Arabidopsis thaliana: one gene and its partners. The protein of the gene in region 2 purifies or fractionates together with the protein of the main gene of each other region. This does not show direct contact. Each region holds a gene or a part of one and is shown on either strand. Other genes may lie near its edges. The genes, in order: AT3G45900, AT1G20590, emb1796 and AT4G34400.

Region 1 (8,525 bases), on a different chromosome or scaffold from region 2:
CGCATGTAGACTTATATTTTAGTTAAACTAAAAACTTTTATTGTAAAGATGATTATAAATATATGATATTATTTTATTTGATTTTAAATGTATAGTAAACTGCGAGTTGTATATGTTTTGTTGATATTATTTATATTGTTTAGTGTTTAAAATTATACACTTGTATTTTGATTGTTAATTTTAGAGTTTCACCTCTAGTATACCATCTTGTATTAATATCGATTTAAACCCGTCAATTCTAGGATTTTCCAGCTTGTATTGAAAATTGAATCACATCATACACATAAAAAAATCTAATATGTTATTAATTATTGTAGTATATAAGATTATAAATTTTTAAAATAATATATATGAAATTGAATATAAATATTCAAATTATGACCCAGTACTCAGTAGAAAATTTTCTTAAATCTATTTTTGACCCGTTATAATATTTTTTCATGTATTGAACAGTTTATATTCGTTTTAAAAAATTCAAATTATGGCATATGCGAAAAAACTCTAATTATTTTTTTATAACGATGATATTATTTTTTCGCAAAAATAGAATCATATAAAGATGAGAGATGAACTATAATAATTAATAAAAAAAATAATATGATAATTTAGATATCAAATCTAATTTGTTGATTTTAATTGGTTACTTTTTTGGAAATTGATAATGTATTTTGTTTTTTAGTTAAATTTAATTAATTAAATTAGTATTTGATTTTTTAATTTTTAAAGAATTGAATTAATTTACTCTTTAAATTTTATTTCTAATGGCATACCTATGTTTAAAATTGAATTAATTTACTCTTTAAATTTTATTTCTAATGGCATACCTATGTAATTACTTACAAAAAATAAGGTTACATTTTAAATGTACTTCCCAAATAATATAGTAGGATAAGAGATTTTACTATATTTTTTAATAAGTATAATCAATCGTGTTTAGTAGTTATTATGTGTAAAACTATAATTTTACTGTGGAATTACAATTAAATTAGTCAGGCTAACTAGACCGATTTGAAACTTGTTATACATATGATGAGTTCTTTTTTTTTTTTTTTTTTTTGAACAAAACATATGATGATTTCTAAAGATAGAAGAATATTAATTAAGCTTTGGCTTATTCTAGAAGACCTTTACTTTGTTTATGGTTGCCTCGAATGTAAATATATATATATATATATATATATATATAAGATCATTTTGGTAGGTCTTTCCTCTATAGTAATCTTCTTTTTTTTTTTTGTTGCTAAGATTGTAAATATTCATTTTACAATAAAATTTAAGGTTACACAAAAAACATAACCCTTATGTAGCTATTAACAAACTGGCCATTTTGGCACTCATGTATAGTGCCTACAACATTAGTAGACACGGTCCTGCTTCCATAAATCTATTTTGACATCAGTTTGTATCCTCATTGTCATCATTGTTTACTAACGAGATTAAAAAAGAAAAGAAAACTTGGACATTGTTGGATAATAATATTTCTTCTACATATTGATCTCGCTTTGATCCTAGCCAATAGATCAACACATTTGTTACTCTCGATAATCACTAGCTCCTGTGTGTTTTAATGTAATGGTGAAGGTTAGGGTTTTCTATGTTTCCTTTCAAAGTGTAGTACTATAGTTTCAAATAGGTAGCACATACTAAAATCCCAAAGATTAATGCACTATATTTAACCTCTTCTGCATCAACTCCATTTGAGTCGGTATAATCCATCCAAAAACAATCATATCTTGCGCTGTCCATATCCGAAATTATGTGAAGCGTCATAATTAGACTTCATCCACCCTTCTGTCGGCATCCTCCATGGCATTGATTTGGAGCTTCATAAACATATTTAATATTGGTTTGTATTAAATATTTATGAAAATCCATAGACACAAGGATAGAGAGGTTGAAATTAGAGAGATCTTACGATTCTTTTTATTTAAGCAACATACTAGTATCTATGTTACTTTTATTTATTTATCATTCTTTTCTTTTTCTTTTGGAGCTATAGCAACCTACCAATAGTATTTAATTTATTCAGAGCGTTCGTAAGAATATGTTTGATAAATATGTTCACGAAGTTTCTTTCGTGGTTGAGAAAATTTATAGCAAGATGAATTATACGTACATTGTTCAACTCATAATGATAATTTTGTTTTTAGATCTAGTAGTATAGTATGGGTTATTATCCGTACTACAATATGGGTTAAACTTATAGCTATATCATCATCCGTACTACAATATGAGTTAAATTTTATTTATTACAAAATTTATATATTATATATTTTAGAATAAAATTGTGATATATTATAATAGTAATTGAAAAATATAATTAGACCTACCAAATAATGTAATACATTATCATTTTTTTATATTATATTATTATATGCAATGATAGAAGATTTAAAAGTATTGACTTTAATGATACTTTAATTTTTGCTTTCTTTTTATTATTTTCATATGAATACTCTTAAAATTTTATCCAGTTTATATCAATTCTATATATTTAATCATGAGCCTATAATAATGTTGTTAGAGTATTATATCTGGAGAATATATAAAACCATAAATAGTTTATTTATAATTAAGTTGAACAATTTTCAAATCATCCAAGACACATCATTTCTCTAATATTGATATATGCAATGACAAAAAATCCAAAAGTGTTGACTTCAATGACATTCAATTTTTGCTATCTTTTTATTTTTTTGTACGAATACTCTTCAGATCTTTTTTAGTTGATGTCAATCCAAACTTTAATCATGAGTCTATCACAATGTTATTGAAGTACATAAAACAAGAAAAAGTACATAAAACTTTAATCATGAGTCTATCACAATGTTATGACAAAAAAAAATTTTGTTAATTGTTTTCGGATCAGTATATCAAATTTGACTCTTTTTCTTAAGGAATTGTGGGATGTAGAAAATGTTCACATCCATAAGGAATTGAGGTTGAAAACGGTTCTTGACAATGTGAAACAAACTATGGCTCAATGTGGGTTCTACATCCGGTCCGTATGCTTATGCCCGGAAAAAGTTCTTCACAGAAAACAAACCCCTTATTAAACGTCTTCATCGATCAGACGTGAACATAACTGAATCACAAGAATACCCAAAGAAATATCCAGGTAAGACCACGTTATAATTATCATAGTTGTATTTCAGTTGATCACTAAGAAAGCATATTATGAAGAATATAACTAAGTCGTTTAGCTTATGCTTGGTCTGAATAAGTCATCCTAAGTTGTAGTAGTCAATGCACGTTTGATTAAGAGTCTCTTTTGTTATAAGATCCACTTGAATAGGTCATCTAGTTGAGTCTTGTAAAAGTCTTTCTAAGAATAAAATCATAGAGCTTGGTTCCTTTGTTTTGTTTTAACGATTAGCAGATAACTGATTATTGTCACAATTATGAATTGAAAAACGTCTCTGCTTAGTTTGTTTAAATACTTATTTCAGTGAACAGAGCTCTAATCTAAGATTTGATCGTGAATTCTCAGACTTGACTATGATGCAAAGACTCTCAGAATGACCCTCCTGCTGCCATTCTGCTCCTAACCTCGGACTTCTTTAAAATGGTCCAAAACCTATCTCGAGAACAATATGGGTTTGTGATCTGGGTTGTTGGAAACAATTCTATCCCTGAAGAAATCCGCAGTCTCACAACCTTTTTGTCATGGGAGAATCTTGGGACATGTTTACTTCTTGATCCAAACGCGCACGTAGGATCTCTATGCTGCAGCCACCGCCGAGTCCTCCTCGTCGAAGAGTTTCTCAACCTATTCCTAGGCGTGCCGATCTCCTAGTCCCGATAATTAATCAATCCTTAATTTTTGTCAATATTTCTATTTTAGTTCTAAAGTTTCTCCAGTTTATAAATCTGGTACTTTCTCTAATTTATTAGGTTTTTGGGATCTTACTTGTCTTGGGGTATCTTGGATTTCGATCTCTTCGTCCAATCCAATGCACTTAATGGAGGAGTCATCGATATGCTTCGAAGATTCGGTGTTGAGGTTCATATCTCACAACCGCCTACGAAGACCAAGAAGAGATCCAATGCAAACCGCAAAGGTTTTCCCGATATTGAATTGGGGAAGGCTATGCATTCAAGGGCATTGGAGCGTAATCCAAGCCCAATGCTCCTAATTTCCTCAGATTCTCGTCTTCACACCGACGTCTCACATATCACGAGTCTCGCATTTGAGATAATCTTGTTTCACACCAAAAAGGCTCCCAAAGATCTCAAGGATTTAGCAACAAAACGTGTACTATGGTTTGATGGTGTGTCAAAACTGACTGAGGTAAGAATCTGACTTGTTTGCTTATTGTTCATATGTTTGATTTATAATTTTTGTTTTGATAAAACATTATAAGAATATTAAGAAATTAAAGAAATAAATATTCCAAGTTAGTAATTAGATCTTTTATTATCAAAAGTCAGACAATTAAAGAGTAGCTTCATATGCTACTAGTTCTTAATCTTTTTTTTTTTTTGTCAACTGCTAGTTCTTAATCATTTTGTCAATATCAGATATTGATTTATATCCAACTTCGCTAATACGCCAAAAAAAAATGTCCTACCGTTTTTGCTGATAGATTGAAAACAAGAGAACAAAAAATAAAATTTTGTCTTTTCTTAGTATCTTTTTTTCTGCGGTCACGAAAAATGGCGAAACCTGAAGAAGAAGAAGAGAGATTGAGAATGAGAAGCTTCGTTGAGGAAGAAAAAGAGCATGATGAATTGAAGAAACTAGCAAAATCATTTCTAGTTTTAAGCTTCTCAGTAATGTTAGCTCATCTCCCAAACGACGCAATCTCTCTTGTCCCGAGATTAACATCTCAAGTCACCGAGCTAAAACGGCGACTCGCGACGGCGGAGGAACAAGTCCGTCAGATGAAATCTCGGCGCGTGGAAGATTCGAAAGCTAACGCGCGTGTGGTCGAGATCTTTGCTAGTCATAGAAACGCTTGGCAAGAAGAAGAGAAACGATTGTTGAATCGGATTCATGAAATTGAAGAAGAAAGAGAAGATTTCATGAATAGGATTAGTGAATTGGAGAGGGAAGTGAGTGAGAGAGATGAAATGATTGGGTTTATGTCTCGAAGAGAGATTGAGGAAGAAGATGATGATGATGGACAAGGAGATGAGTCCAGTGAACGTTATGCTGTGGATCATCTCACTCTATCTTCATCACCATCACCTAATGCTTATGGCAATTTTAATCCTTTCCAGGTTTTGATTTTGATTTTCTTAATTATGAGAGTGAAGAATTTGTGTGTTTGGTTTTTCAAGTTTTGCTTCTGTTTTTGTAGGATTTACAATATGAATCTTTGGAATCTGTGTATCGTATGAAGCATTTTGTGCCAAGGTAATAGAGAGTTTTTGAATTGAGAATGTGTGATTGTGATTGTGATGATGAGTGATGTATAATAGCTTGTCTTTGATTGCATAGAAGGGAATCACCATGGAAGATTGATAGTGAAGGGACGGGTGTATCTGCGAAACTGAGGTTGCTTGAAGAGGAATTACTGAATCTTGAGAAAGTTTGTCGTCCTAGTGACATATCGAAAGTTCCGTCTTTGTTGAAAAAACAGGCTAAGAGGTATCAAGCTCTTTCAGGGAAGATCGATGATCTATGTAGAAGAATGGTTAGTCTCTATGAGTGATTTGCTTACAAGTTACAACACATTCTTGAGTTACTCCTTACACCTTTCATGGAATTTATGTTTTCAGCAGAGTAGTGATCCGTGCGATGCTACATTAGGACCTGAGTTCAGGACGCAAAGACAAAACGAGTTTCTGCTCGAGTGTTTCAGACTTCAGCAACGGGCATCGGAGACAGGGCAGAAGCTAGTTTCATTGCAGACGGAAATCACCAGGAGTAATCAAGGAGATCAGTTAAGCCAAGCCAAGATGAACACAGGGAGGTCATTGGATTTGATCAAGAACAACTTGAAAGAAGTTCAGAGAAACTTGGAGATTTGGCTGGCTAGAATTATTGGAGATCTTGAAGGTATACTTGCTAGAGACGGGGCTTCACGTGTAAGAGAATTCTACGTTGCTCGATACCCTTTTGTTCAGTAGAATCAGAAATCTCTCTATCACTTAAGACTAACTCGCCATTTTTTTTTTGTTTCTGTTGCCTTATGTATGTGTGTCTGTAACTGTGTTAACCTGCTAAAGATCAGTGTAGAAGTCTAGGTTTGATCTGATAAATAAGCAAGTTGTGTTATATTATTAATCATTCCAAATGTTGTGGGGTCAAATGTGAAAAATGTCAGGTATGTTTGTTAGTCGCAATGAATTTTAAAAAGCAGATTAGAATCTCAAGCCACAATGAGATAATGTTCACATATATGATATATACTATGCAACATTGTTTTGCTGGAATATGATATTTAGGGATCTTCTGACTTGAGAGACATGTAAATCTCTAAACAGCTCACTACATTCCAATAGCAGATGAACAGAGAACAATGTATCTAACCTATACCGAAAAGTCAAATGGGATCTAATACATCATCCATTGGCCATGGTTTTGCTCTGAGTTTATGAGCTGTTTGGAGAAGATAATAATAGTTCACGATCATGACCTAGACGGATTCTGGTTGGTAGAGGTCTAGCTATCAGTCCTTCAGTGACCCAACCTACTGATTCGCTGTCTTCTTTGGCGTGTTCAAACTCTCGTCGCACATAATCTAAAGAAATGTGAAGGCGACCACCGGGTTTGCAGTCTGAGTAAGTGCTTGCGGGTTCGATCCCAGCATTCTTCTCTAGCCAGTAGAGGTAGTTCACTTGAAACAATGACCTGAGCATGTCTTGTGGAGTTGAGCTTTCCTTGAGCATCACCTGACAATTACAAGAGGAGATAGAATGGTGAGAGATTCCGCTGGGTAATAATAATTATGAGAAGGTTTATCATTGCTTACGCAGAATCTTCCTTTGTGTTCTGTAAGGATGTAGCCTTCATTGCGATATAGATCAAACAGTGCTATTGCTTCTTCCTTGTTGTGGATAACATCGCTGAGCTTTGACCCTAGTTGAAGCCGTTCCTCTATGTCTGCGGCTGCTGCTTTTGCTTCTGATGATAAGACAAAATCTTGCAGCTGAATAGAGCAGATACTAAGAATCAATCAATCAGGTCATCAAGTATTGTTTTGTTCATCCGAGAAAGTTTTTAGATTTTAAACTAGTTGATAAGAGATCTCAGAGTGTATAATAAGGTGAATGAACACTTTTACCTTTTCTGGAGATTTCATGTTTGAAAACCGAACTGTTGGGAAGAGCGGTTCTTCATCGTTGACCTCCTTGATTAGAGGAGCTTGGCCGCTGATTAGATATTCACTAAAAACCAAACCTGCAAAATAAACAGAGATGTTATTTTCGTCTTGTAAGACGATTTGAATGAATTGGACGTCTGCAGGAGTGGGATTTACTTGCACGGTATGGGTTTAGAGTCCGGAGCTGGATACACTGGTAAGATTTGAGATTGGTATACATATGGATTGTAGTCACAACTCCAAATGCAGCAAGGGCAAGACTTGTAGAGGTTCCTATGCAATTGGCAACCACTATTCCTAGCAGAATACCCACTGACTTGCTCACCATTCCTTGAGCTTCACCCTTGGCAATTACCTACAAAAGAAGTTGTTGATGCATACACTAGAGACCCAGAATAGTTGAGAAAAACAAATAGCTGTTGATAAGTGATCAAGACTAAGGCCATATAAAAATTATTGTAGACCTCAGCAAAGTTCCTTTGAGAAGCAAAGCCAGCATTGAAGCAACTTCTAGTAGCAGCCTGCAGACAAGTAAATGATAAGTTCAATAGAAAATACTAAACTATAACAAATGCTGCACTTAGAGCTATGCAAATAGAGCTTTCAGAGACAAGAACAGAACCTGAATCAATGCAGCAGCAGATCGACCAGCACCAGCAGCAGCACCGATCATAACGAAAAACTGAGGGAAGACTGGCGTAAGCATCTCCATACCAAAAGCAGCGTTTTCAAGAAGATCAGCAAATAGCCTCCATCCTTTGGGATGAACATCGAAATGTCGTCCGTATTTCGACAACATTATCTTACTAAGATACCCAATTCCATCTTTAAGCACCCAATTGATAGCTGCAGCTGTAGGAATTGCTCCTTTACCTAACCCAACTGCATAAAGCAAAGACTACCAACACAATATAATGAACACCAAGTGTTTGTGAAAATGCCTAAGAGAGATGATAAGCTCAGTCGTCTACCTGAGTGGCAAGAACGCCGCTGATTTGACTAGCAATACCTTGAACACCTCTCCAGAGAGAGTAATCGAGGTAATCAGAAGTTACACTATTGGGAAAACCTTCAGGAAGAAGGAATTGAGTGAGAAGGTTTCTACATTGAGCTAGGAGATTCTCAGGAGTTAGAGAAGATGATAATTCAAAAGCAGATTCTTCAGAGACGAACTCATCTTTGACAAAATCGGGAACTAGTCTCTTCCTTTTACTTCCTCTCACTTCCCAAACCGTCTCTTTCACAGCATCTCCA
Region 2 (7,387 bases):
GTTTCACATCAACTTTTGCTTTTGTGTTCTTTATCATCGAAAGGATTGTAGTTTCAAAATCTTGTACTTATGTTTGATTCATTCTTATGATTCTGCAGAAACTTAGTTGCGTGCCTCCTAACTATATGGACAATCAACAAGATCTTAATGAGAGAATGAGAGGAATCCTCATTGACTGGTTAATTGAGGTAGACAGATCTAGACAAAAGCTATTTAATGCCACTTTTTTTGTCTCAATGTGCCTGAAGATAAATTGACTGGAAAATTATCTTGTCCAGGTGCACTACAAGTTTGAACTGATGGAGGAAACTCTTTATCTCACAATCAATGTCATCGACAGATTCCTTGCGGTTCATCAAATCGTGAGGAAAAAGCTTCAGCTTGTTGGTGTTACTGCTTTGTTGCTTGCATGTAAATATGAAGAAGTTTCAGTTCCAGTGGTAGATGATCTCATCTTGATCTCTGACAAAGCTTACTCTAGAAGAGAAGTGCTAGATATGGTGAATACACAACTTTGTCTTGATCATTAACTACCACTGGTTGATGCTTCATAGTTGAATTTACCTGTTTTTGGTTTCTATTGCAGGAGAAGCTAATGGCCAACACCTTGCAATTCAATTTCTCTCTACCAACTCCATATGTTTTCATGAAACGATTTCTCAAAGCTGCCCAATCTGACAAGAAGGTATATATCTCCCTAACTAAAAAAGCTTGAATCATTATATCCGGAAACCATCAGGCCTAATATCTAAATCGGTGTGGTATATGCAATTGTGGTTTCAGCTTGAGATTTTATCATTCTTTATGATCGAGCTTTGCCTTGTGGAGTATGAGATGCTAGAGTATCTTCCATCTAAGCTGGCGGCCTCAGCAATCTACACTGCTCAGTGTACACTTAAGGGATTTGAAGAATGGAGCAAAACCTGTGAGTTTCACACAGGCTACAACGAAAAACAGCTACTGTAAGAACATACATTGATTTTTTTGAAAACCCCATGACATGAGATTTTGGTATCCTGACAGTGGGTTTTTGTGTTTTTTCTAGGGCATGTGCGAGAAAGATGGTTGCTTTCCATCACAAGGCAGGAACAGGGAAGCTCACAGGAGTTCACAGAAAGTACAACACATCTAAGTTCTGTCATGCTGCAAGAACTGAACCAGCTGGGTTTCTGATTTAATATTAATAAGAATCTAATATGACTTAACTCGAGTTTTTCTTTAGAACAAAAAGAGTGTGAGAGAAAGAGAGATAGTAGAGCAAGTTGCCCAAAATGGGAGAAGAATGGATCTTTAGATATCATGGCAAGTAGCCCAAAAAGAGTGTATTCTTCTCTTTCTAAGGTCTTTAGATCTTTCTTCACTTGAGAGAGAATAAAAAGAATCTTCTGATATCATGCTTTCCTATATTCAACTTGTGAATCGATTCTTGTATAGACTCAGGAAAATCTATGATCCAGTTTGGTTAATATTACTCGGGAGCTGAACCTCTAGACTGAATCAAATATTCTTCTACATGTCGTTTTGGTACTCTGGAACTGAATCTCTAGACCCTATCAAATATTCTACAAGTACATGGCAATTTTTTGGATTGTAATTTGGGAAAATTGCAGTTGACAAGGTTTTTACATGATGAAAATACAAGTACAATATTCTTTTATAGCTTATATATTAATGTTATAAATGACCATATAGACTACGTTATTTAGACAACTCAAAGTCTACAGTATTGCAGTCTTTATTGAAGGAGGATATAATCATTACTTCTAGTATTTCATAATCTTGTTCCTTCAATTTATCTTTGTTTTCTGATCTTAGTCTTATTAAGACCTTTATGAAAACAATGTACTTTGTTTTACTCATCTACTGTCAGAAATGGAGAATGCGCAAAGAAGAAAATAGATCACAACGAAAACTTGTCAATGATTCAAACATCTTGGTAACCCAAAATACAGAACTAGTAGTGCATCTGGACATATCTCTCTTGTTCTCCTTTGTTTGGTTTTACAGTGTTCTCTAAGAAGTGTTGCAGCACCTGACTTTGCTGCCTCGAATGAAGACATGCTCAAGCTGTGATACCTTACCATCCTGTAACATAGCAATGAAAAACCGAAAACAAAAGTTAAGTGACAATTATTAATAAACAAACCCATTAAGTTGACAGATTATTTATGAATACTTATGAACAATAACACATTAAAAGAGTTAAAGACTTTCTGAACTAAAAAACTACAGGTAGTTCTTTCCCAATAATTACAGGTTCATTCAAAACCCATACAGCACATTATTCGCAAAGAAGACGAAGCTTTAAGACCTGCATACTTGAGACTATTCACATTTGACCACTGTATTAATTCTTGAAGATCTCACCCTAATTTGGATTCAAGAAAGCAGTAGTCTTCAAGATCATCCCACTCGATTAGTTAATTTCTTAAAGAAAATGTAACGTAGTGAATAGCAAAGCAAAGCTTTCGAGTCTTTATGTGCCTAAACATCCAAACAGTGACAAAATCAGAAGTCTTCAAAAGACCATAATCTGCCACAAACTGCATCCACCCTGAAGTTAAGACAGGTGTTTTATCCCCATTCCACATCTTGAACTTCATCTGTTGAACTTCCCCGTCTGGTCCATACACCGAAACATCAACCCCCTTTACCGGATCCTCTGATTCTTCTAGAAAAGGAAGCATCTTCTCCTTCACTTGCTCCTTCGATAACATGAGCCTGCTTTGATCTGTATCGACGTCGCTCGACATCAACTGCTTCTTTATCGGTCGGCTGAATCGCCTCGTCACCTCATCATCGCCGAATATATCCTGTGGATCGAGTTCAGCGTTGTACCAATCCTCAATTAACCTCAGAGTTTCTTCTGAAAAGTCATGGATATTTATTTTCATGATGTTCTGATTCTTAACCCTCTTAGGTTGATTTTTTTCAGTTTTTTCTTCCCTCTTCCTAGACTGCTTTTGATTAGCTTGGCTTACTAGTAATAATGGAAGGGACGCAACCTCATCATCTATATCGTCTTCATCATCTATATCCTCTTCACGATCCATAACATCTTGCATCAATTGTGCTAATATGTATGTAACTTCTTCATCTTCTTGTGTTGAACTTGTCGGTTTACCTGTTGAATTCGCCATGATCGATCTCTCACGTTCTCTCTATCTTACCTTGCTGAAGAACCTATCTATAGGGTTTGTTTTTTTCCTTCTTTCTAGCAAATCAATTTCCTTTTATACTTTGATTTTCCATTTAAATCATATATATGAAAGTTGGCCACCTCATATTAGTTTAGTAATTTTAGTTAGATATTTTTTTATTATTACGTTTTGTGAATATGATTTTATCATATGACCTTCTTTCTGTATATTTTTGTGCGTTCTGATAACTTGGTAATATTGATAAACAATTTTTTTCACGTAATAGTCATCTGACACATTAGACATACCAAAAAAAACATAAGACATTATATTGTTATATGCAAAAGAAAATAATTAAAGTGTTGACTTAAATTACTAGCATATCATGATGTGATTGTTTACTAGATGACAAAAAAATATATGGAATAAAAAATTGTTTGTTATAATTAAGTTAGACAAGTTTCAAAACACATAAGTAATATAACTACATTCATTTTATCAATCTATCATATATTGTTGTTGTATGTGATTATGATAGTTAAATATTAGAAAAATAGATATATAAATTTTCATATTATAGTAGAATTGATATTTCGAGTTATAGATGAAACTAATCATAAAAATTAATAATTATATTAAATAGATATGAATTATAGTAATAATTATATTGAACATCAAAATAAAAAAAAAACCATAATCATATTTTTCCGACAATTCAAAAAACAAAAACCGATGCTACGCATGGGTGTTCATCTAGTTGTAATTAATAAAAACACATTTAACTTTTTTAATCGACAAAATAATTATTTTAACTCTGTAAAAATACTGCTCTGTTTTTCAAAAACGTCAATGAGAGATATAGACTAGAGACCTCTCTAATAGCTGATGATGAATTTTTTATAATAAAAAGCTCTGTTTCTTGATACCATGTCGTATAAATTTCTATATCATACATGTATATGCTCTACTTGAACGACTTCTTATGTAACTTGAGTTCTTGTTATCTCAATACAAGTTATGTTTGTTCATTCTTGTCTTTAGGGAAAAACTAAGAAGATTTTTGTCATCGACAGATTCCTTGCGGTTCATCAAATCGTGAGGAAAAAGCTTCAGCTTGTTGGTGTTACTGCTTTGTTGCTCGCATGTAAATATGAAGAAGTTTCAGTTCCAGTGGTAGATGATCTCATCTTGATCTCTGACAAAGCTTACTCTAGAAGAGAAGTGCTAGATATGGTGAATACACAACTTTGTCTTGATCATTAACTACCACTGGTTGATGCTTCATAGTTGAATTTACCTGTTTTTGGTTTCTATTGCAGGAGAAGCTAATGGCCAACACCTTGCAATTCAATTTCTCTCTACCAACTCCATATGTTTTCATGAAACGATTTCTCAAAGCTGCCCAATCTGACAAGAAGGTATATATCTCCCTAACTAAAAAAGCTTGAATCATTATGTCCGGAAACCATCAGGCCTAATATCTAAATCGGTGTGGTATATGCAATTGTGGTGTCAGCTTGAGATTTTATCATTCTTTATGATCGAGCTTTGCCTTGTGGAGTATGAGATGCTAGAGTATCTTCCATCTAAGCTGGCGGCCTCAGCAATCTACACTGCTCAGTGTACACTTAAGGGATTTGAAGAATGGAGCAAAACCTGTGAGTTTCACACAGGCTACAACGAAGAACAGCTACTGTAAGAACATACATTGATTGTTTCGAATTTTTTTGAAAACCCGATGACATGAGATTTTGGAATCCTGACAATGGGTTTTGTGTTTTTTCCTAGGGCATGTGCGAGAAAGATGGTTGCTTTTCATCACAAGGCAGGAACAGGGAAGCTCACAGGAAGTACAACACATCTAAGTTCTTTCATGCTGCAAGAAGTGAACCAGCTGGGTTTCTGCTTTAAGGGAGGAAAAAACTATAATAAGAATCTAATATGACATAACTCGAGTTTTTCTTTTGAACAAAAAGAGTGTGAGAGAAAGAGAGATAGAGCAAGTTGCCCAAATGGGATATGTACAATGGTTGGTTCGGTTCTTCTCTTTTTAAGGTCTTTAAGATCTTTCTTCACTTGAGAGAGAATAAAAAGAATCTTTTGATATCATGCTTTCCTATATTCAACTTGTGAATTGATCCTACTAATTTCATGTATAATCGTTGTAAAATACTCAGGAAACTCTATGACCCATTTTGGTTAATATTACTCAGGAACCGAACCTCTACACTCCATCAAATATTCTTCTACAAGTCGTTTTGGTGTTTGCTGGTACTCTGGAACTAAACTTTTATAGACTAAATATTGTACAAGTCATTTTGGAAATTTTTTGGATAATTTGGGAAAATAGCAGTAGACAAGGTTTTACATGTTGAAAATACAAGTACAATATTATTTTCTAGCTTATATTATTAATGTTATAAATGACCAACTTTGTTTTCTGATCTTAGTCTTATTAAGACCTTTATGAAAACAATGTACTTTGTTTTACTCATCTACTGTCAGAAATGGAGAATGCGCAAAGAAGAAAATAGATCACAACGAAAACTTGTCAATGATTCAAACATCTTGGTAACCCAAAATACAGAACTAGTAGTGCATCTGGATATCTCTCTCTCTTGTTTGGTTTTACAGTGTTCTCTAAAGCATTAATGACAGAACCAAGAAAGGCGGCTTTCACCTGGATATCACAGAAAGACTATCCCAGAATCAAAGCTTACATGTTGAGCGTAAAATCAATCATCTCCTCACAGGTGGTACCGCTCCCCTTCCTCCAGTTCCACGCCCGGGCCCGGCAGCCGGCTTTAAGATAATATCACAAAGATTCAAGAATCTAACCATTAGTAGTGACAAAGAAGAAACAAACCATTAAGGGATAACAAGGATTTGAACATCTTAACAAGTTCCATAAAACTTCCTAACATTGCATTCATGAGCACTAAATCATAAGAGAGAGAGGGTGAACTTACTTTCCCTCGCATTGCACCTCTACCTCTGCCAACACCCAGTGATGAGCTCTTTCCCTACATTGATTAAGCAAGTAAGGTAAGATGTTTGTTGGAGATATGTATAGAGATCCTAATATCATTCTGCATCCAGGGTTCAAAAAGCATATATACCTTGATTCTAGCATCTAACCGCTTGAACATTGGAGCATGTTTGAGAATGTCTGGTATGACCATAAACCTGTCAAGATATATCCGCAGGTCAATTACTAAACAGCTAGGGTTAACAAGAATGATCCCATGAATTACATAAACAAGGAAACAAGTACAGCACCTGACTTTACTGCCTCGAATGAAGACATGCTCAAGCTGTGATACCTTACCATCCTGTAACACAGCATTGGAAAACCCAAAACAAAAGTTCAGTGACAATTAACAAACAAACCCATTAAGTTGACAGATTATTTATGTATACTATGAAGAATAACACTTAAAGAGTTAAGACTTTCTGAATTGAGAACTACATGTAGTTCTTTTCCCAATAATTACAGGTTGACTCAAAACCCATACGGCACAATAATCCGCAAATAAGAGGACGCTTTAAGACCTGCATACTTCAGATAATTCACATTTGACCACTGTATTCCTAAAGAGCAACTTAGGCTTTGGATAAAACGTTACAAAGCACAAACGTAGAACCTTTCTTCTCAGTTATTGATGTGTCCTATAGATCAATAATAAGTTTAACCAATCAGAGGAGACTATACCCTACAGTCAAAATTTATCTAATGTCACTGGCAGGATCACGCATTCTAGGGTTTTATACAGCATGAATTTCAAGGATTCTTAATCTCACTTAGAACTTAAAATAAGAAGCAATCTAAAATTTCCCAGCAAATTTGCCCAGCTCACCAAATCTAGGGTTTTAACAGCACTAACATCAAACAATGAAATTGAAACGAAACCTATGGTTCAAAAAACAGTCTCATATAAAATGAATCGAGATCTTCAGAGTATCAGTTGATTACCTTGGCGGTATAAGTAATATCCTCGAGCTGACAGTTCCAGTTATCCTCACACTCAATCATACTTCCTCTGTAAAGCTCGCCGCTCTTTAGCTCCACCGTCACGATATGACCTGAGGCCTCGTGAAGAAGCTTCACCGGTATTCCCAAACTTCGGCTCATCTTTCTCTCTACAAAACCCTAATTGAAAACCTTCTCCTTTAACTCTGCAACCTAGAAAGAAAAAAATGGCGGAAGGAAAGAAGAGCGACTCAGATGCGATTGACGAGTTTACCTC
Region 3 (8,169 bases), on a different chromosome or scaffold from region 2:
ATTCTCGGCGAGTCACGACGGTGACGATTTCGCCGGAGTTCCAATACAGAACAGGAGGCTGCTGGGAGTGGAGGAACGAGAAGAGAAATTCCCGAGATGGATGAGACCAAAAGAACGCGAGATACTGGAAATGCCGGTATCTCAGATACAAGCTGATATTATCGTATCGAAAGACGGTAACGGCACGTGCAAAACTATATCGGAAGCTATCAAGAAAGCTCCTCAGAACAGTACTCGCCGGATAATTATCTACGTCAAGGCCGGAAGGTAAAATGACTGTTTTACCCTTCGTATTAATCGATGTTTTTAACTGTTATGTCCGTGAGACGAAAGTGAAAACTAAAAACCTGTACGGAGGTTTAATAATTGCGTATCTCTGACTGTGTCTGTGATCTCTTTTTTTTTTTTTTTTTTGGAAAGATATGAAGAGAACAACCTCAAGGTCGGTAGGAAAAAAATTAATTTGATGTTCGTTGGAGATGGCAAGGGTAAAACTGTTATTTCGGGAGGCAAAAGTATATTTGACAACATCACTACTTTCCACACGGCGTCATTTGGTGAGTTTTTCCTAACCTCACTCTTCCTTTTTTAGTTTTTACTATACTACTTTTTTCACTTTTTGAACTCTTTTGCAATAATACAACAATCATGATAAATAGTTAAAAGCAAAACACGTATTAATGCAATGAAACATGTACAAGAATTATAAATTGATACACTAATCTTTTCGGTGGTCGAAAATCAGAAGCGTTTTTTAGTGATATAATAGAAAAGTTAAAAGATCTTTTTGTGTTAATTAAAATCTTAAAAAGGAGCTATGAGGGTCAACATTTATGATATAATAAATGTCGTTTTTCTATAGATTTAATATAAACTATTTGTTGTACATATTTGTTACTGAAAAAGGTATTGATATAAATAAGTTAAGAAGGAAAAATATATATACTTTGAGGAGAATTATTGGAATCAGATACGTGAAGGGGGCCATGAGCTAGGCTGTCTATAGATTTCGGAGTGATAGGGTTTTAAAAAAGTGTCCAATAGATTCTCCTATAGTCAGAAATTTTTACGAATATTAGTTGTCTTTCACCACTTGTGTGTGTGTTGTGTTTTTTTTTGATAAAAGATTTAACACCACTTGTTTTTATTCTTCATATGGATTATGGACCACTAAAGAAAGCTATATTTAAGTAAACCTTGTAAATAGTAGTAGTATGTACTCGAACCAGTAAACAAAGTCAATATTATAGACCACTAAATTTCTAAACTGTGAATTTTTTTCTTTCTTTTGTGTTTTTTGGTATTTTCTCAAACTTTTTTGCCAAGGCACTCAGTAGTCGTTTTAATAAAAAAAAAATTGGGGGTCAGAATTTTTGTTTAATGATTTTTTTCAAAGAAACATGTTTTAGAACAAACGTCATTCACCCGTTTTCTACTACTTCAACTCAGGAACCTTCTCATGGCAGACTAACTTTAAATTAATTTTGACCAACTTTTTCTTGCTCATGCTGAATTAAGACCTAATCACCTAAGTTGTAGTTCTTACGTAAGTTTACGTGTTTGTTTAGTTTAAGAGAAAAACACGATCTAAAAATTCCAATTCTCATATAAAAGTATCATAAAATTTTGCAGCAGAAACCTTATTATATATAACCAACTTTTTGTATATCCTTTTTTCAGTTTTGATCTTCAACTCAGTTATGTAGAAACTTAAATTTGAACTGATCTTTATGCTTTTTCGATAACTATATAGTACTCCAACTTTATTTATTGGAATATTGACTTTTCCATAGGACTATGTACGTTCGAATTCGGTTAGGTAACACACTTACACTGAATTGGACATCCTATGTGATGCTGCCGCTTATCCAACCAAACTCACATGCATGTTGTTGTGATTTTTAATGTTCATTAAATGCACAAAACTCAAATCAAATCGAAAACATAAAACATTCTTTTGATCAAACAAAGTTTATATACTTCTTTACCTTCATCTAATATTCATTCCTCACATCCACTTATGTAACATAGTAAATGCATGCTCCACATATGTATAAACAAATATACATACAGACACGCACACATGGAAAATGCATACACATATAAAAGAATATGAACGTATCGTAAGGTTCGAAGTAGGCCGCGCAATTACTGACCACACATATTTGTATATATATAAACATGCATGATAGGAGACAGAGAATAGTAGCATTTATTTACATATATAAGTTGGAGGTGGGTCATAGCTCATTATTTAGTTGAACGCGTTATAGACCACTTGTATACAACATTTCTATAGGTAACGACATTTCTCACATACTAGTTTTTTTTTTAAGTTTAATTATATATAAAGTTAGTTGAATTAGTAAATACAAAACATAATTGTGTGTTAATTTCTTGCTTTAATTTTTCCAGCTGCGACCGGAGCTGGATTTATTGCAAGGGACATCACATTCGAAAACTGGGCCGGTCCAGCGAAGCACCAAGCCGTGGCTCTCCGCATCGGAGCTGACCACGCAGTGATCTACCGATGCAATATAATCGGTTACCAAGACACACTCTACGTCCATTCAAACCGCCAATTCTTTCGTGAATGCGATATCTACGGTACAGTCGATTTTATCTTTGGTAACGCAGCCGTCGTACTACAAAACTGTAGCATCTACGCACGGAAGCCAATGGATTTTCAGAAAAATACAATCACGGCTCAAAACAGAAAAGATCCGAACCAAAACACCGGAATATCAATACATGCGTCTAGGGTTCTTGCAGCATCCGATCTCCAAGCGACAAACGGTAGTACACAGACGTATCTAGGCCGACCTTGGAAGCTATTCTCTAGGACAGTGTATATGATGTCGTATATCGGTGGTCATGTACACACGAGAGGTTGGCTCGAGTGGAACACAACATTTGCTTTAGATACTTTGTATTATGGAGAGTATTTGAACAGTGGACCTGGGTCGGGTCTCGGGCAACGTGTGAGCTGGCCGGGTTATCGGGTCATCAATTCGACGGCCGAGGCAAACCGGTTCACTGTGGCAGAATTTATATACGGTTCCTCGTGGTTGCCATCGACCGGAGTTTCGTTCTTGGCCGGATTAAGCATATAGGTAGAGAAAAAATTGAAATGCTTATTTTTCCGATGAATTGTTTCATTCTTACGGTCCTTATATTAATGGACATATCAGTATTCCAATATATATGAGTATATTTTAACTTTTAATTGTAATGTCTCCACTCTCCAGAGGTATTATTTAATAATAGATGAACACTCGAGGATAATTTTCCCTTGTTTTCTTGACAGTGAAGAAGTAATTATTGACTGATGTGTGATATATATGCCATGCATAAAAAGTTAAACTAGTTTGATTAAACGTAACTTATATGCTTCTTTTGTGTGTCAAAAGAAGGGCTAAAAGTCCAGACTCAAGCAACATTATTGTGTTTAACCGACTAAATGTTTCGAAAATTATTGGATTTTTTTTTGTATTCACACATTTTAATGTTGGATACAAAATAATTCAAACATTCAAAAAACAAATATGAATTGGATGTGTCGGTGATGAGTGGTGAGAGCCGGAGAGAGGAGCTCATGTGATTGAAGTCCATAGGTCACGGCCCACGACCGACACTCACTGTGGGGGCCACGATTTTGGGAACTCATATGTTCCAGTCATGTTCGACTTAACAAAGAATACCAAACATCATTTTCGTCACTTTCCAATTAAAATGCTTTCTTACGTTATACATTACTATAATTTATCATTCATTAAAACTTAAAATTGATGCAAATTCAGATTATATTTTCATTACACCAAAGGTCCAAATATATAATACACAAATGCAAATGCTAAGTCGCATACTCGCATGTCAAGTGACACCCAGGCGGACATGGCTGTTTTTGGGTTTTTGCGGATAGACGGTCACTTGGTTCATCACTTGCGAGATGGACTCGTGCTGCAATATACTTCGACTCTCTACCATTCTATTTTTAGGTAATGTTATTTCTACAACCTTTAAAGTTAGGAATAATTTAATTGTTATTACTATATAGTAGAAGTATATTTCCAAAATTCCAAAGACTGTATAGAATCGATCAAATTAATCTCAGATACCAAGCCAGATAGATTAACAAATTACTTACCAGAATATATAACAAGGAGGGAAAGAAAAGTGAATATGTTCAAAAAAACTATTCATTTTCACGGAGACCTTTTGTTCTACCTACGGATATATATTGGCTAACTTTTTTTTGGTAAAAAGTTAAATTTTATACCAATTTTCTAATTTTTTCTCTACAATGCTGAAACAGCTTATTTAAAAAAGCAACAATTAGAAAGGGAAGGAGATACAACCAAAGTAGAAACTAAGAAGAGAAATAGAAGAAGAAGGAGGACCAGGGAAGGATAGAAGGCGGTCTCTAACGGTGCGGTCCACGGCAGCCTTAGTCACAGAAGCCGAAGTGGAGATGTTGGTGAAGATCCTTGCATTTCGTTCGCGCCAAATGAGATAGCACGCAACCTGAGCGATGAGCTTGATGATGACAGAAGAGAGAGTTTGAGGTTGGAGCTTGCGCTGTAAAATCTAAGATGAGACTGAGAGAAGATCCAAGGGTGGCAAGCGCCAAACTTTAGAAGTTAAAGCTTCCCAAACAGAGGAAGAGAAGGGGCATTCGAAGAATAAGTATCGATGAGTCTCGATGCCAGCAGAACAGAGAACACAAGCTGAGGTGACGTTAATACCCCAGCCCCGCAACCTGTCCTTAGTAGGCAATCTGCCCAGGAACGCAAGCCACATAATAAATGAGTAGCGCGGAACTAACTTGATTTTGGAGTCAATAATCCATAGCTTGCTTTTCAAATATCTTTTTGTTTTTTTTGTTTTCCACGTTTTTCAAATATCTGTTGGACCATTTTGTCTTAGATTTAGATTCAATAACTTTTGCTATACTATACTGTGTATTCTTCTTGTACTAAATTTTGTAAAAACTGAATACCCAAACAAAAAAATACATGAAATACAAGTATTTTATTTAAAATTTAGACCTGTTCTCTTATTCGTTGGACTAAATATACAATAATAAATGGATAAATTATTTATAAAATAACAGTTATAAGATAGAAAAAAAATTACTACGGATGTGGTACAACAAATTTCTCGTTAAGAGAGATATGGGCCGGTCGAAGTGCCGGCCTCTATAGATAAGCCGGCACCGCGTATATTACGCACAACGTATTCCGCTCTTTTTTTGTTACATCATTGTGCAGAATGCAGATTCCTAACCAAAGAAAAAGAAAGTTTTTAAAAATATTTAATTATAATTATATGATGAAATCAAGAATGGGTCCTCCAAAAATCGAGCTTATGGCCCAATAAAGCCCAAACGTAAATAGCCAAGCCCAAGCATATTTATCCACGTTCCCAAACAATCCCTAAACCTCATCATCATCATCTCCAAACTCCTAAAACCCTAACAAGAACCCTTATCTCTCTCATTTCCTCTGAAAGGAATCATTTTTCCACTCAGAAAATCTCAAACATTTCAACCATGTCGATTTCTAAAGCCGCCTTTTTAAACCACCTTCAAACACTATCAAGATCCTACCGCCACCGTGTTCTGCCGCAGCCATTTCTCGCCGTCCGATACATGTCATTCGCGACTCAGGAAGAAGCCGCCGCTGAACGTCGCCGTCGTAAGCGTCGTCTTCGTATGGAGCCACCGGTTAATTCATTCAACAGATCTCAGCAACAACAATCTCAAATCCCTCGACCAATTCAAAACCCTAATATCCCGAAATTACCTGAATCTGTCTCTGCTCTCGTTGGGAAACGTCTCGATCTTCATAATCATATCCTGAAATTGATCCGAGAGAATGATTTAGAAGAAGCTGCTCTGTACACTCGTCACTCTGTGTATTCGAATTGCCGTCCCACGATTTTCACTGTGAATACTGTTTTAGCGGCGCAGCTTCGACAAGCTAAGTATGGAGCGCTTCTGCAATTGCATGGATTCATTAATCAAGCTGGTATTGCACCTAATATCATCACATACAATTTGATATTCCAGGCTTATCTTGATGTAAGGAAACCTGAAATTGCGTTGGAGCATTACAAGTTGTTTATAGATAATGCTCCATTGAATCCTTCTATTGCTACTTTTAGGATTTTAGTTAAGGGTTTAGTTAGTAATGACAATCTTGAGAAAGCAATGGAGATTAAAGAGGATATGGCTGTTAAAGGTTTTGTGGTGGATCCTGTTGTTTATAGTTATCTAATGATGGGGTGTGTGAAGAATTCTGATGCTGATGGTGTGTTAAAGCTTTATCAGGAGTTAAAGGAGAAGCTTGGTGGGTTTGTTGATGATGGTGTGGTTTATGGGCAATTGATGAAGGGGTATTTCATGAAGGAGATGGAGAAAGAGGCTATGGAGTGTTATGAGGAAGCTGTTGGAGAGAATTCAAAGGTTAGGATGAGTGCTATGGCTTATAATTATGTGCTGGAGGCTTTGAGTGAGAATGGGAAGTTTGATGAGGCTTTGAAGTTGTTTGATGCGGTGAAAAAGGAACATAATCCACCGAGGCATTTGGCTGTAAATTTGGGAACTTTTAATGTGATGGTTAATGGGTACTGTGCTGGAGGAAAGTTTGAGGAAGCTATGGAGGTTTTTAGGCAAATGGGTGATTTTAAGTGTAGTCCTGATACTTTATCGTTCAACAATCTGATGAATCAGCTGTGTGACAACGAGTTGTTGGCTGAGGCTGAGAAGCTTTATGGTGAAATGGAAGAGAAAAATGTGAAGCCTGATGAGTACACATATGGTTTGTTAATGGATACTTGTTTCAAGGAAGGTAAGATAGATGAAGGAGCTGCGTATTACAAAACAATGGTTGAGTCTAATCTAAGACCAAATTTGGCTGTGTATAACCGTTTGCAAGATCAGTTGATCAAAGCTGGGAAACTCGACGATGCAAAATCTTTCTTCGATATGATGGTGAGCAAACTCAAGATGGACGATGAGGCTTACAAATTCATCATGAGGGCGTTAAGTGAAGCTGGTAGACTCGACGAGATGCTCAAGATTGTGGATGAGATGCTGGATGATGACACGGTAAGAGTGAGTGAGGAACTGCAAGAGTTTGTGAAAGAAGAACTGAGGAAAGGAGGAAGAGAGGGAGATCTGGAGAAACTAATGGAAGAGAAAGAGAGATTGAAAGCAGAGGCAAAGGCGAAAGAGTTAGCAGATGCAGAAGAGAAGAAGAAGGCTCAAAGTATTAACATAGCTGCATTAATTCCTCCAAAAGCAGTGGAAGAAAAGAAAGAAACCGCAAAACTGCTTTGGGAAAACGAAGCTGGTGGTGTTGAAGAAGCCGATGTGGTGGAGATGGCTAAAGGAGTAGAAGCAGGTGGATCCAATGGTCAGGATCCACCGTCCTGCTGATCTTATTTTTTTCCTTGAATTCATTAGACTCTAGTTATCTTCTTATCATTCAACTTTTATGTAATTAGGGATTTGTTTGGGACAATAAGCTATGATTAATCTTTTGCTATAATGCAGGTGTTTGCAAAATCTTTTTTCCATGTTTGCTTTTGATTTCAAATTAACATGCTATGTAGAACATTTGTTTTAGTGGATGGTCTATGTAATCATTTCTTTATTACTCAATTTGGTGCATTATATACGTAACAAGAAATTGTAAATCTTATCCATTTGGGACAAAGATTTGAAGTGAGGAAAGACTGTATTCCAACTACATGAAGCAATAGAAACTGAGCATCTGATTAGAAAGCCTAGAAGATTGATTATGTACACAGCAAACTGGTCAAGTCAAAAGCAAAACAGACAGAGATTGGAAACAGCATAACCAAAACTAACCGATCTACTACCCTTCAAGGAAATTTATTAAAATCTAGTATATCTGATAAGATGCATTCCATGGAAGCAATCTATCAAAAACTTAGCTGGAAACAAGTTCTTATAGTCAAAATAGGCTTCCTACTTATAGTCAAAATAGGCTTCCTATAGAAGCAAGGGTCACTGTAACTCCGAGCTCTATGCTTCTTTGCTTGCTTTTTTTTCATCTGGGTGTGTTCATTGGCTGGGGCACCACCAACACATAAACAGACCAATGTTAGCCATATAAAACTTTCAGATAGAGGTATTTGAAG
Region 4 (8,538 bases), on a different chromosome or scaffold from region 2:
TCCCTTTTCCCGGAAAATTTATTTGCTGATTTTTCTTCCTTCCATCGCCACTTTCCTGGAAAAAAAAACTAAATTTCGTCTCTTTCTTTAAGCTAAAGGAGCTTTCTGTGATCAATTTTTTCTATATTTCTGTAGTTGCGTTCTTATTTCACGCGCTTTGTGATTTGATTATTTAAGCCACTAATGGCTTAGGATCTGTATATTATCACTTCATGAATTCTCGTTTTCTCGGATAAGTTGTTAAGTTTCTAAATTAGGGAATTTTAGGAATTAGGGCTTTTTTGGGTTTGTATGTGTGCTTGATTGGGTAAGAAGATGGCTGCAGTTATAAGAAAGTTATTACCTTTCCCATCACCGAATCCTAAAAGGGATAATCGAGAAAGTGACGATGATGATGAAACAAGTAGTGGCTATCGAATCGAATATTCATTCGCCAGTGAGTATAAAGGTCCTCTTATTGCTAATGTGCCACGAGCTCTTCCCGTTGAAGTTGATCAGATTCCTACGGCTCTTCCCGTTTCCTTTTCTTCCTTGCGGAGTGGTATCTCTTACCCAGTGGCACCTCTCGTTATGACTAAGGATACCAAGAGACCACCTGATTCTGGAATAGAGAAGAAGAACGGTTTCGTTGACTCTGCAGCTGGTTCTAGTGTGGTTTTGATAGGGCGTGATGTTGTTTCTGGCTCATCATCATCATCATCATCAAAGAGGTTGGATGTACCAGAAGAAGTGAAAAGTCCTGCTGATTTTCGGTTATCACCATCATCACCATTGTCTGCATCAGCGAGAGAGGAGGATCACTTAGATGATGACAGAGTTTCGGATGTGGGACCTAGAGCAGTGAGATTCGTTGAACCTTTTCAGAGTAGTGAATGTGATGAGAGCTCCTATGTTTCTGATGGAGAAAGTATAGCTGCAACGCATAGAGCTGAAAGGAAAGGTAAAAGAGGATCGTGTTACCGGTGCCAGTTGGGGAACCGGTTTACTGAGAAGGAAGTCTGTATTGTCTGCGATGCCAAATACTGTTTCAACTGTGTGCGCAGAGCCATGGGTGCGATGCCCGAAGGAAGAAAGTGTCAAGCTTGCATTGGTTATAGGATTGATGAGTCCAAGAGAGCAAGTCTCGGAAAGTGTTCAAGAATGCTCAAGCGCCATCTCACGGATTCTGAACTTCGACAAGTCATGAATGCCGAGATCACCTGCAAGGCGAATCAATTGCCTTCACGACTTATCATTGTCAATGACAAGCCTTTAAGTGAAGATGAGCTTTACACGTTGCAGACATGTCCAAATCCACCCAAGAAGCTAAAACCCGGACACTATTGGTATGATAAGGTTGCTGGCTACTGGGGAAAGGTACAGTTTCTTATATATGTCTGCGTATCTATTATCGGGATTGTATTTTGAGTGCTCAGCTAAATCAGAGCCTCTATGTGTTTATTTAATCAGATAGGAGAGAAACCTAGTCAGATTATAAGTCCTAACAACAGCATAGGAGGATACATCAGTGAGAAAGTAAGCAATGGAGACACTGAAATTTATATTAATGGCCGGGAAATAACCAAGCCAGAGCTCACGATGCTCAAGGTTCTTTTGCTTTTCACCTTTGTTTTGGATAACAAATATGCTTAGTGTATGTGTCATTGTTCTGAACTGAGCGCTTCTTTGCTTTGATGTAGTGGGCGGGGGTGCAATGTGAAGGAAAACCTCATTTTTGGGTCGATTCAGATGGTTCTTACCGAGAAGAAGGTCAAAAGCATCCCATCGGGAACATCTGGAGTAAGGTATGGTTTCCTGATCACCAGCTTTTCTCGTTCACAACATTAAATATAAAACTAAAGACAACGAAGGATATTATTTTTACAGAAGAGAGCAAAAATTGCTTGCGCTGTGTTCTCTCTGCCAGTTCCTCCGGCTTCGTCTGCAGTAGAACCATATGATGTGCCCTTATATGAGCAGAAGATGCTTAACAAGCTTCTTTTGATTGGTAGCGAAAAAGGTGGCGCCACTACAATTTACAAACAAGTGAGCTATTCATCTTAATGCCTCCCACTTGAATGTTTCACATCTAGTAAAGAATCGGGAATTGACTTCTTCTGTTTCAGGCAAGGTCTCTCTACAACGTCTCATTCTCTTTAGAAGACCGTGAAAGAATCAAATTCATAATCCAAACAAATCTCTATACCTATCTGGCAATGGTTCTTGAGGCACATGAAAGATTTGAAAAAGAGATGAGCAATGACCAGTCTTCAGGTAATTATTATTGACTGTACAAACTATTAGAATAAGAATGCATTCATATTCTAATACAAACATCAGTTAACAATTGATTATTGAGGAAGACTGATCGAGTTCTTGGGATTTAGGCAATGTGGGAGATGAAACCAGTGCAAAACCAGGTAACTCGATCAACCCGAGACTAAAACATTTTTCAGATTGGGTTTTGAAAGAAAAGGAAGACGGAAACCTGAAGATATTTCCACCATCAAGCCGTGAGAATGCTCAAACCGTTGCAGATCTCTGGAGAGTACCAGCTATTCAAGCCACCTACAAAAGACTTCGCGATACACTTCCCAGGAACGCCGTTTATTTTCTTGAAAGAGTAAGTTTACATCAAGTTGCCTGCTTGCATATATAAACGCTCTTTCAGGACCTTAACACTTTTGTTTAAGGGGAAAAAGATGACTGACCCAAATTTGTTTCTTCTCAGATTCTTGAGATCTCGAGATCAGAATACGATCCTTCTGATATGGACATATTGCAAGCGGAAGGACTCTCCTCTATGGAAGGACTTTCTTGTGTGGACTTCTCATTCCCATCAACTTCTCAAGAAGAGTCTCTTGAGAGCGATTATCAACATGATACAGACATGAAGTTAGTTCTGTTCTTTTTCCTTGTGTTGCATTCCGGCTATATGAAAAACCGTTGAACTTACCCTCTCTCTCTCTCTCTCTCTCTCTCTCTCTCTCTCTCTCTCTTTAGGTACCAACTCATCCGGCTAAATCCGAGAAGCCTTGGTGAAAACTGGAAATTGCTGGAAATGTTTGAAGACGCTGACTTGGTGATATTTTGTGTCTCACTAACAGACTATGCAGAAAACATAGAAGACGGTGAGGGGAATATTGTGAACAAGATGCTTGCAACCAAACAGCTTTTCGAGAACATGGTGACTCACCCGAGCCTAGCTAACAAAAGGTTTCTTTTGGTTCTAACCAAATTTGATCTCCTAGAAGAAAAGATCGAAGAGGTTCCTCTAAGAACCTGTGAGTGGTTTGAAGACTTCAACCCATTGATCAGCCAGAACCAGACGAGCAGACACAACCCTCCAATGGCTCAGCGTGCTTTCCATTACATTGGATATAAGTTCAAGAGACTCTATGACTCAATCTTGGAACCCGTAAATATGCGTGGAAGGAGCTTTAAGCCAAAATTGTTTGTTTGTCAAGTGAGCTTGGAGAGTGATACTGTGGACAATGCACTGAGGTATGCGAGAGAGATTCTCAAGTGGCATGTTGAAGAAACTTCCATGTTCCAAGAGATGTCTACTACTAGCATAGAGGCCAGCTCGTCCTCTTGATATTTTTTCCTAAAATTCTTTCTTTCTTTGTGGAAATTACATAAGTTTGTTTCTCTCTCTGTGTGTATGTTTGTTGTATATGTAGTAGTGTGAAGATACATTCATGTGATTGATTTTTCAGGGGAAAAAAAATAGAGAAATAATAAAGTGAATTTTCCCGGTTTAACAGACATTTACTTATACGGTTATTGAGGTTGAACTGGACCGGAGTAGCAATAAATTATCGGTTCAGTTTGGGAGATCAAACCGTTTAAAAGAAAATAATTTGAAATGGCCACGCAGAATACGAGGGTCTGAGGATTGTACCTCCTTTCTCTGCAAAAACTTAAACGTTGATTTGACTCAAGCGTCAAGGTAAGGTACTCTCTCTTCATACAACATTTTAGCTTTACTTTTTCTCTTTACTCTTCTCTCTCTCTTTCTCTTTCTCTTTCTCTTTCACTCGTTCTCTCTCACTCACTCTCTTCACACACAGATCCAAGATGGCCTCTTCAATGGCTAGCAATGATTTCCAGCTCCCTCCACGTTTCTTCACTGTTTTCGTCTCCCATTTCAGCTCAGAGTTCATGGTAAGATTTTCTCTCGAGGTTTCTTCTTTCAGGTTTATCTGTTCATGAGCAAACGATTCTTGAACTGGGTAGATTCTCTTAGCCTAGTGGTTTCTTTGAACTATGTCTGATGGTTTTTATGAAACAAACACTGTGTTTATCTGCATTTAGCTTCCTCTATAGATTTTGCTTTTTCTGTTTCTAGGGTTTTGCTCTTATTCCTACCCTTTGGTTTCCTTTTTCTGACTAAAGATTTAAACTTTCTGTATGAATCAGCTTAATTTATGGACTTAACACTGGATATGTTTGGTTACTGGAACTAAATTTCATCAAAGTATAAAGTAGTTTTGCTCAGATTTTGTTTTCTTTTTCTGTTGATGAATAGAAACATTTGTTCTGCTTCTAAATGCTGAAAGATATAAAATTTTGAGACTGGATGCTTTGATTTTGTCTGGTTCTGGAAAGTTGACTCTTTTAACTGTCCCTACGCTTTTGGTTGAAACCAAATCTTGTTGTGTGTGGAAAGCCTCTTTAATGACTCTCTCCGACTTACCTTAAAGTTATCTTGTTTTTTTTGTGTCTTTACTTATCTATTGAGTGTTTGGCTTATAAGTTAAACAATTTTTCTGTGAAATGAGCAGGTGATCCCAGTTTCCTACTACGATCACATTCCACATCGTTTCCCCAAGACTGTGATTCTCCGAGGACCTGGTGGATGCTCCTGGAAGGTAGCGACGGAGATAAAGGATGATGAAGTGCTTTTTTCACAAGGATGGCCCAAATTTGTTCGGGATAATACTCTTAACGATGGAGACTTTTTGACCTTTGCCTATAATGGAGCTCACATATTCGAGGTCAGTATCTTTCGCGGCTACGACGCATGTAAAGAGATTAGCGAAGTCACTGAATTGGAAGAGGAAGAAGAAGACAGTGTTATATCTCTGAGCAGTGAAGACACAGACACTGGTGCTAAATCTGAGATGAAGAATACAGTCCCGGAAGGCAGAGACAAAGGTTCATTGTTAGCTTTTTTTCCCATCACTTGCTTTTATGTGATTTTGCTTGTTTTGACTTTTGAGATTTTTGTTTGCAGGAAAGTCAAAAGTGGAAGTTGTGGAGGATTCTGATGACGATGAGGAGGAGGATAGTGTTTATTCTGAAAGCAGTGAAGAAACAGAGACAGACACTGATTCTGAATTCAAGGTGGCCAAGCCAACAATACCAAAAAGCCAGAAGAAAGGTTTTAAACTCATCGTTAGCTCATTGCATAACTTGAATTGTTTCTTTATGTGATTGTTTTATATATTGACAATCATGTCTTCTTTGTTGAGATGTTTTCAGGAAAGAAGAAAGAACAAGTTGTGGAGTCCTCTGATGACGAGGAAGACGAAGAGGAGGACAGTGACAGTGATTACATTGAAACGTTTGGTCAATTGGATATTGAAGAGAATTCCATCAGTGAGGAGGACAGTTCTTATGCTCCTGATAAAGAAGACACAGCCACTGCCTCTTTTGTCAAACCAAAGGTTGCAAATAAGGTTGCTAATCTGAAGAGGAAAGGTAAAATACATTTACTTTCATCACTTTTAACTTCATTTCTTCCATGCTTATCTTAATGCAACATTGCTTTGTCTATGGAACCAGAGGCGGCAAAGAAGAGGAAGAAAGGTAATCACATTGTTGTCTTAATTAGTTCCATCACTTCATTATGTAATTGATTTTTGAGATGCTAATGCTTTTGTCTCTTGAGATTCTTACAGTCGATCCCATGATCAAGAATCCTGAGAGATACCTCGATGATCCTAAGAATATCCATTTCGAGACAAACGTGAAGAATAGGTTATACGAGCTGGTAAGAACTGCAACTTCTTGTCCTCATATACTACTACTCTTTTTAACTTAAAGATTGTTTTCATTAACGTTCTTGTCTGCTTTGTGTACGTATCTTTTTTACAGTTGGTTCATGCACAACTGGTGAAAGACTATTGCTTGAGGTTTGGAGACTATGTTAACTACATCGACAGGTTCGGGAAACTAAGTGCTAAAACAGCCAAATGGAAGGATCAGCGTGTTTGTATCAAAAGATGGATGCGCATATGCAAGAGGAACAAGTTGAAGAAAGAAGACCGCATTTTGTGTGAGCTCTTGCGCAAGGGAACTTTCGTTTACGCAATCAAACTCCATGTCATCCGCGGTAAGGATCTGTAGACGCTAGCAGTATGAGTAGAGGAAGAGATTTGGCTACTTAATTATCTCTCTGATTTCCATCTTGTTGTGTGATCAAGCAAACTTATGTGTTTCATTATTGTCTACTTCAGATTGTATGACCTTCTCTCTTGTTCTCTCATGAATCTATTTCTGAATACAATATCTAATCTTTGAGCTAAAGTTTAACTCTTAAACCCTTGAAAGAGTAAAAATCCTTGAAAAAAAAAAAAAAAAAAAAATCCTTGAAAGAGTAAAAATCAAAGAAAGGTCGAAAACTGTATATTTGTCTTAGCTTTTTCTTTCTACAATCTGTTTTTGGCAAGATTTTCTCTTGAAAATTCTGAAGAATCTAGGTATACTGGTTTCCACGGAATCTCCTGTAACAAAGATCAAAGTAGAAGAAACAGAGGACTCATTCACTAAATATATAACCTTTGAGGAAAACTAAATAAAATATGTACCTTCCTTCTTCATCCTCGTGATATCGCTTGTTGATTTCTCTTAAATGGAAGCTGCTTCACCAGAAGTGAGGAGAAACAAAGAACAAATTAGTGAGAGGAAGTGAGAAATGACCTTGAAAGCTTTGTGACATAATAATTGTGAATTTTGTGATATAAAACAGAGTAGCTACTCTGTTTTTAGTCCAAAAATAGTAACTTCCATTATCAGAGTAAAATATACTAACCAACATAAAGTTTGATTATTTTGAAAACTTTGACTTGGATCATTATTTATTTTATAGTTTACCATGTCGACGTTGGATATTTCTTTTGTGAATTTTTTGGCCTACAAGTTTTTTTTTCAATTCCAGTTTTGTGGGTCCTATCGTCACGTTTTCGAAAACCTCTTCTTTTTAATTGAATGTTTGCTTTCATCTTTACAAAACAGAGCAAGCTACTCTGTTTCGAGTCCAAAAATAGTAACAATCATTATCATAGTAAACATACAACTAAACCAACCCTAAAGTTTTATTATTTTTGAAAACTCTGATTTGGATCATTTGTTATTTTCTAGTTACATTACCATGTCGATAAGGGAATGATATTTATTTCGTGAATTTTTGGCCATACTTCCATTTTTGTGGGTCCTTACTCCTTTCTTGACGTTATTTTTTAAAAACCTATTCTCTTGAATAACTTTGATTTCTTCTTTAGCATAATTCTTTCTTTGGATATGCTCCACTTTTTGCACGAAAATAATCATTTTCTCCTGAAGATAATCAATTTTCGCAAATTGCATGTCAGTGTCACTATCTTTACAGAGCACGCTTTTACAGACTAAAATTTTGCACATAAAATATCTTAATTTTTTGTTCAAAAAAAAAATATATATCTTAATTTATTATTTATTTTCACATGGCGAACATTTGTTTTTTTAACTCAATGAGTTTGTATAGATGAAGTAAACATGAGGACAATTTAACGAAAGTTAAGTCACCTAACGCTTTGAAATCCAACCTACCAGCCTGAATTTATATTTACACCACTTTGAATAACTCATTTCTGATTAGAGTTTTTTTTGTTTGTTTGTTGGAAAGCTGACTAGTTGAAACGTTAGACTCTAAATAGCTTGTTAATCAAACTGGTTTCAACTATCTTCTTTAAACCACTTTGATTTTATAGCTACTAAATTTATTTACGGATTATCTTTAATTACTTTCCTCATATAATTAGTTTCTTAAGCCAACTATAAAAGAATCAAAAATTAGAAGACTAAAAAAAAAAAAATTAGAGTAATTAACAACGTGGGTTATTGTTACCAAAATTAAGAAAAATACAAGAAGTAGAAACAAACATTAAAATGGTCCAAAATCTGTTTAAGTAGAGATAATGGTGTAGACCTTAACCAGCTCAATCCCATTGTTGTTATCTCTTTAATTACTACAATACATTTTGGATAGTAATATTTCGTTATGCTAATTGCTTGTATTCGATCGACACCTATTATTACCCGATCTTTATCTGAAATGGACGGTTATAGACTAAAAGTTGTTGAGATATTTTTAATTAAAAAAAAAAAGTTACGTTGCAGAATTATTTCATAAACAATGAAATACAGACATTAAAAAAGAAAAACGATTAGAGTTGGTGATCGTTATTAATTAAATATCTTGATTAATCAGTGATTAGTACCAATCCATAGAATCTTACTGGTTAATAGAAAGTGGAAAACCAGTTGGAGAAAAGATAAAGTGAAAAAAGTAAT

The links.
Region 1: the proteins of AT1G20590 (region 2) and AT3G45900 purify together in Arabidopsis thaliana (affinity purification with mass spectrometry, with the first as the bait; one large-scale study listed by BioGRID). This does not show direct contact.
Region 3: the proteins of AT1G20590 (region 2) and emb1796 purify together in Arabidopsis thaliana (affinity purification with mass spectrometry, with the first as the bait; one large-scale study listed by BioGRID). This does not show direct contact.
Region 4: the proteins of AT1G20590 (region 2) and AT4G34400 purify together in Arabidopsis thaliana (affinity purification with mass spectrometry, with the first as the bait; one large-scale study listed by BioGRID). This does not show direct contact.

Annotation. Positions count from the first base shown.
Region 1 is NC_003074.8:16,872,116-16,880,640, reverse strand, and holds AT3G45900 (Ribonuclease P protein subunit P38-like protein), read left to right. Parts: upstream 1-4,557; 5' UTR 4,558-4,656; coding exon 4,657-5,223; intron 5,224-5,303; coding exon 5,304-5,359; intron 5,360-5,443; coding exon 5,444-5,639; intron 5,640-5,724; coding exon 5,725-6,075; 3' UTR 6,076-6,540; downstream 6,541-8,525. Other genes in the region: AT3G45910 (uncharacterized protein), read left to right, coding at 3,566-3,759, 3,895-4,303; RUS1 (root UVB sensitive-like protein (Protein of unknown function, DUF647)), read right to left, coding at 6,541-6,840, 6,921-7,097, 7,233-7,348, 7,428-7,626, 7,736-7,792, 7,894-8,169, 8,243-8,525.
Region 2 is NC_003070.9:7,128,864-7,136,250, reverse strand, and holds AT1G20590 (cyclin), read left to right. Parts: upstream 1-3,785; coding exon 3,786-3,956; intron 3,957-4,181; coding exon 4,182-4,373; intron 4,374-4,459; coding exon 4,460-4,558; intron 4,559-4,656; coding exon 4,657-4,835; intron 4,836-4,928; coding exon 4,929-5,085; downstream 5,086-7,387. Other genes in the region: CYCB2;3 (Cyclin B2;3), read left to right, coding at 99-188, 279-500, 587-685, 784-962, 1,046-1,178; AT1G20600 (AP2/B3-like transcriptional factor family protein), read right to left, coding at 2,014-2,085, 2,499-3,140; AT1G20580 (Small nuclear ribonucleoprotein family protein), read right to left, coding at 5,880-5,942, 6,110-6,163, 6,260-6,326, 6,420-6,472, 7,114-7,272.
Region 3 is NC_003074.8:18,250,535-18,258,703, forward strand, and holds emb1796 (Pentatricopeptide repeat (PPR) superfamily protein), read left to right. Parts: upstream 1-5,426; 5' UTR 5,427-5,551; coding exon 5,552-7,441; 3' UTR 7,442-7,669; downstream 7,670-8,169. Other genes in the region: AT3G49220 (Plant invertase/pectin methylesterase inhibitor superfamily), read left to right, coding at 1-267, 421-557, 2,416-3,113; AT3G49230 (uncharacterized protein), read left to right, coding at 3,871-3,998, 4,316-4,373; DMS3 (defective in meristem silencing 3), read right to left, coding at 8,079-8,099.
Region 4 is NC_003075.7:16,441,264-16,449,801, forward strand, and holds AT4G34400 (AP2/B3-like transcriptional factor family protein), read left to right. Parts: upstream 1-3,877; 5' UTR 3,878-3,936; intron 3,937-3,944; exon of another isoform or gene 3,945-4,052; 5' UTR 4,053-4,059; coding exon 4,060-4,146; intron 4,147-4,766; coding exon 4,767-5,139; intron 5,140-5,218; coding exon 5,219-5,365; intron 5,366-5,466; coding exon 5,467-5,685; intron 5,686-5,769; coding exon 5,770-5,793; intron 5,794-5,885; coding exon 5,886-5,977; intron 5,978-6,081; coding exon 6,082-6,333; 3' UTR 6,334-6,510; downstream 6,511-8,538. Other genes in the region: XLG2 (extra-large GTP-binding protein 2), read left to right, coding at 316-1,356, 1,450-1,587, 1,680-1,784, 1,867-2,025, 2,106-2,253, 2,367-2,602, 2,711-2,874, 2,983-3,577.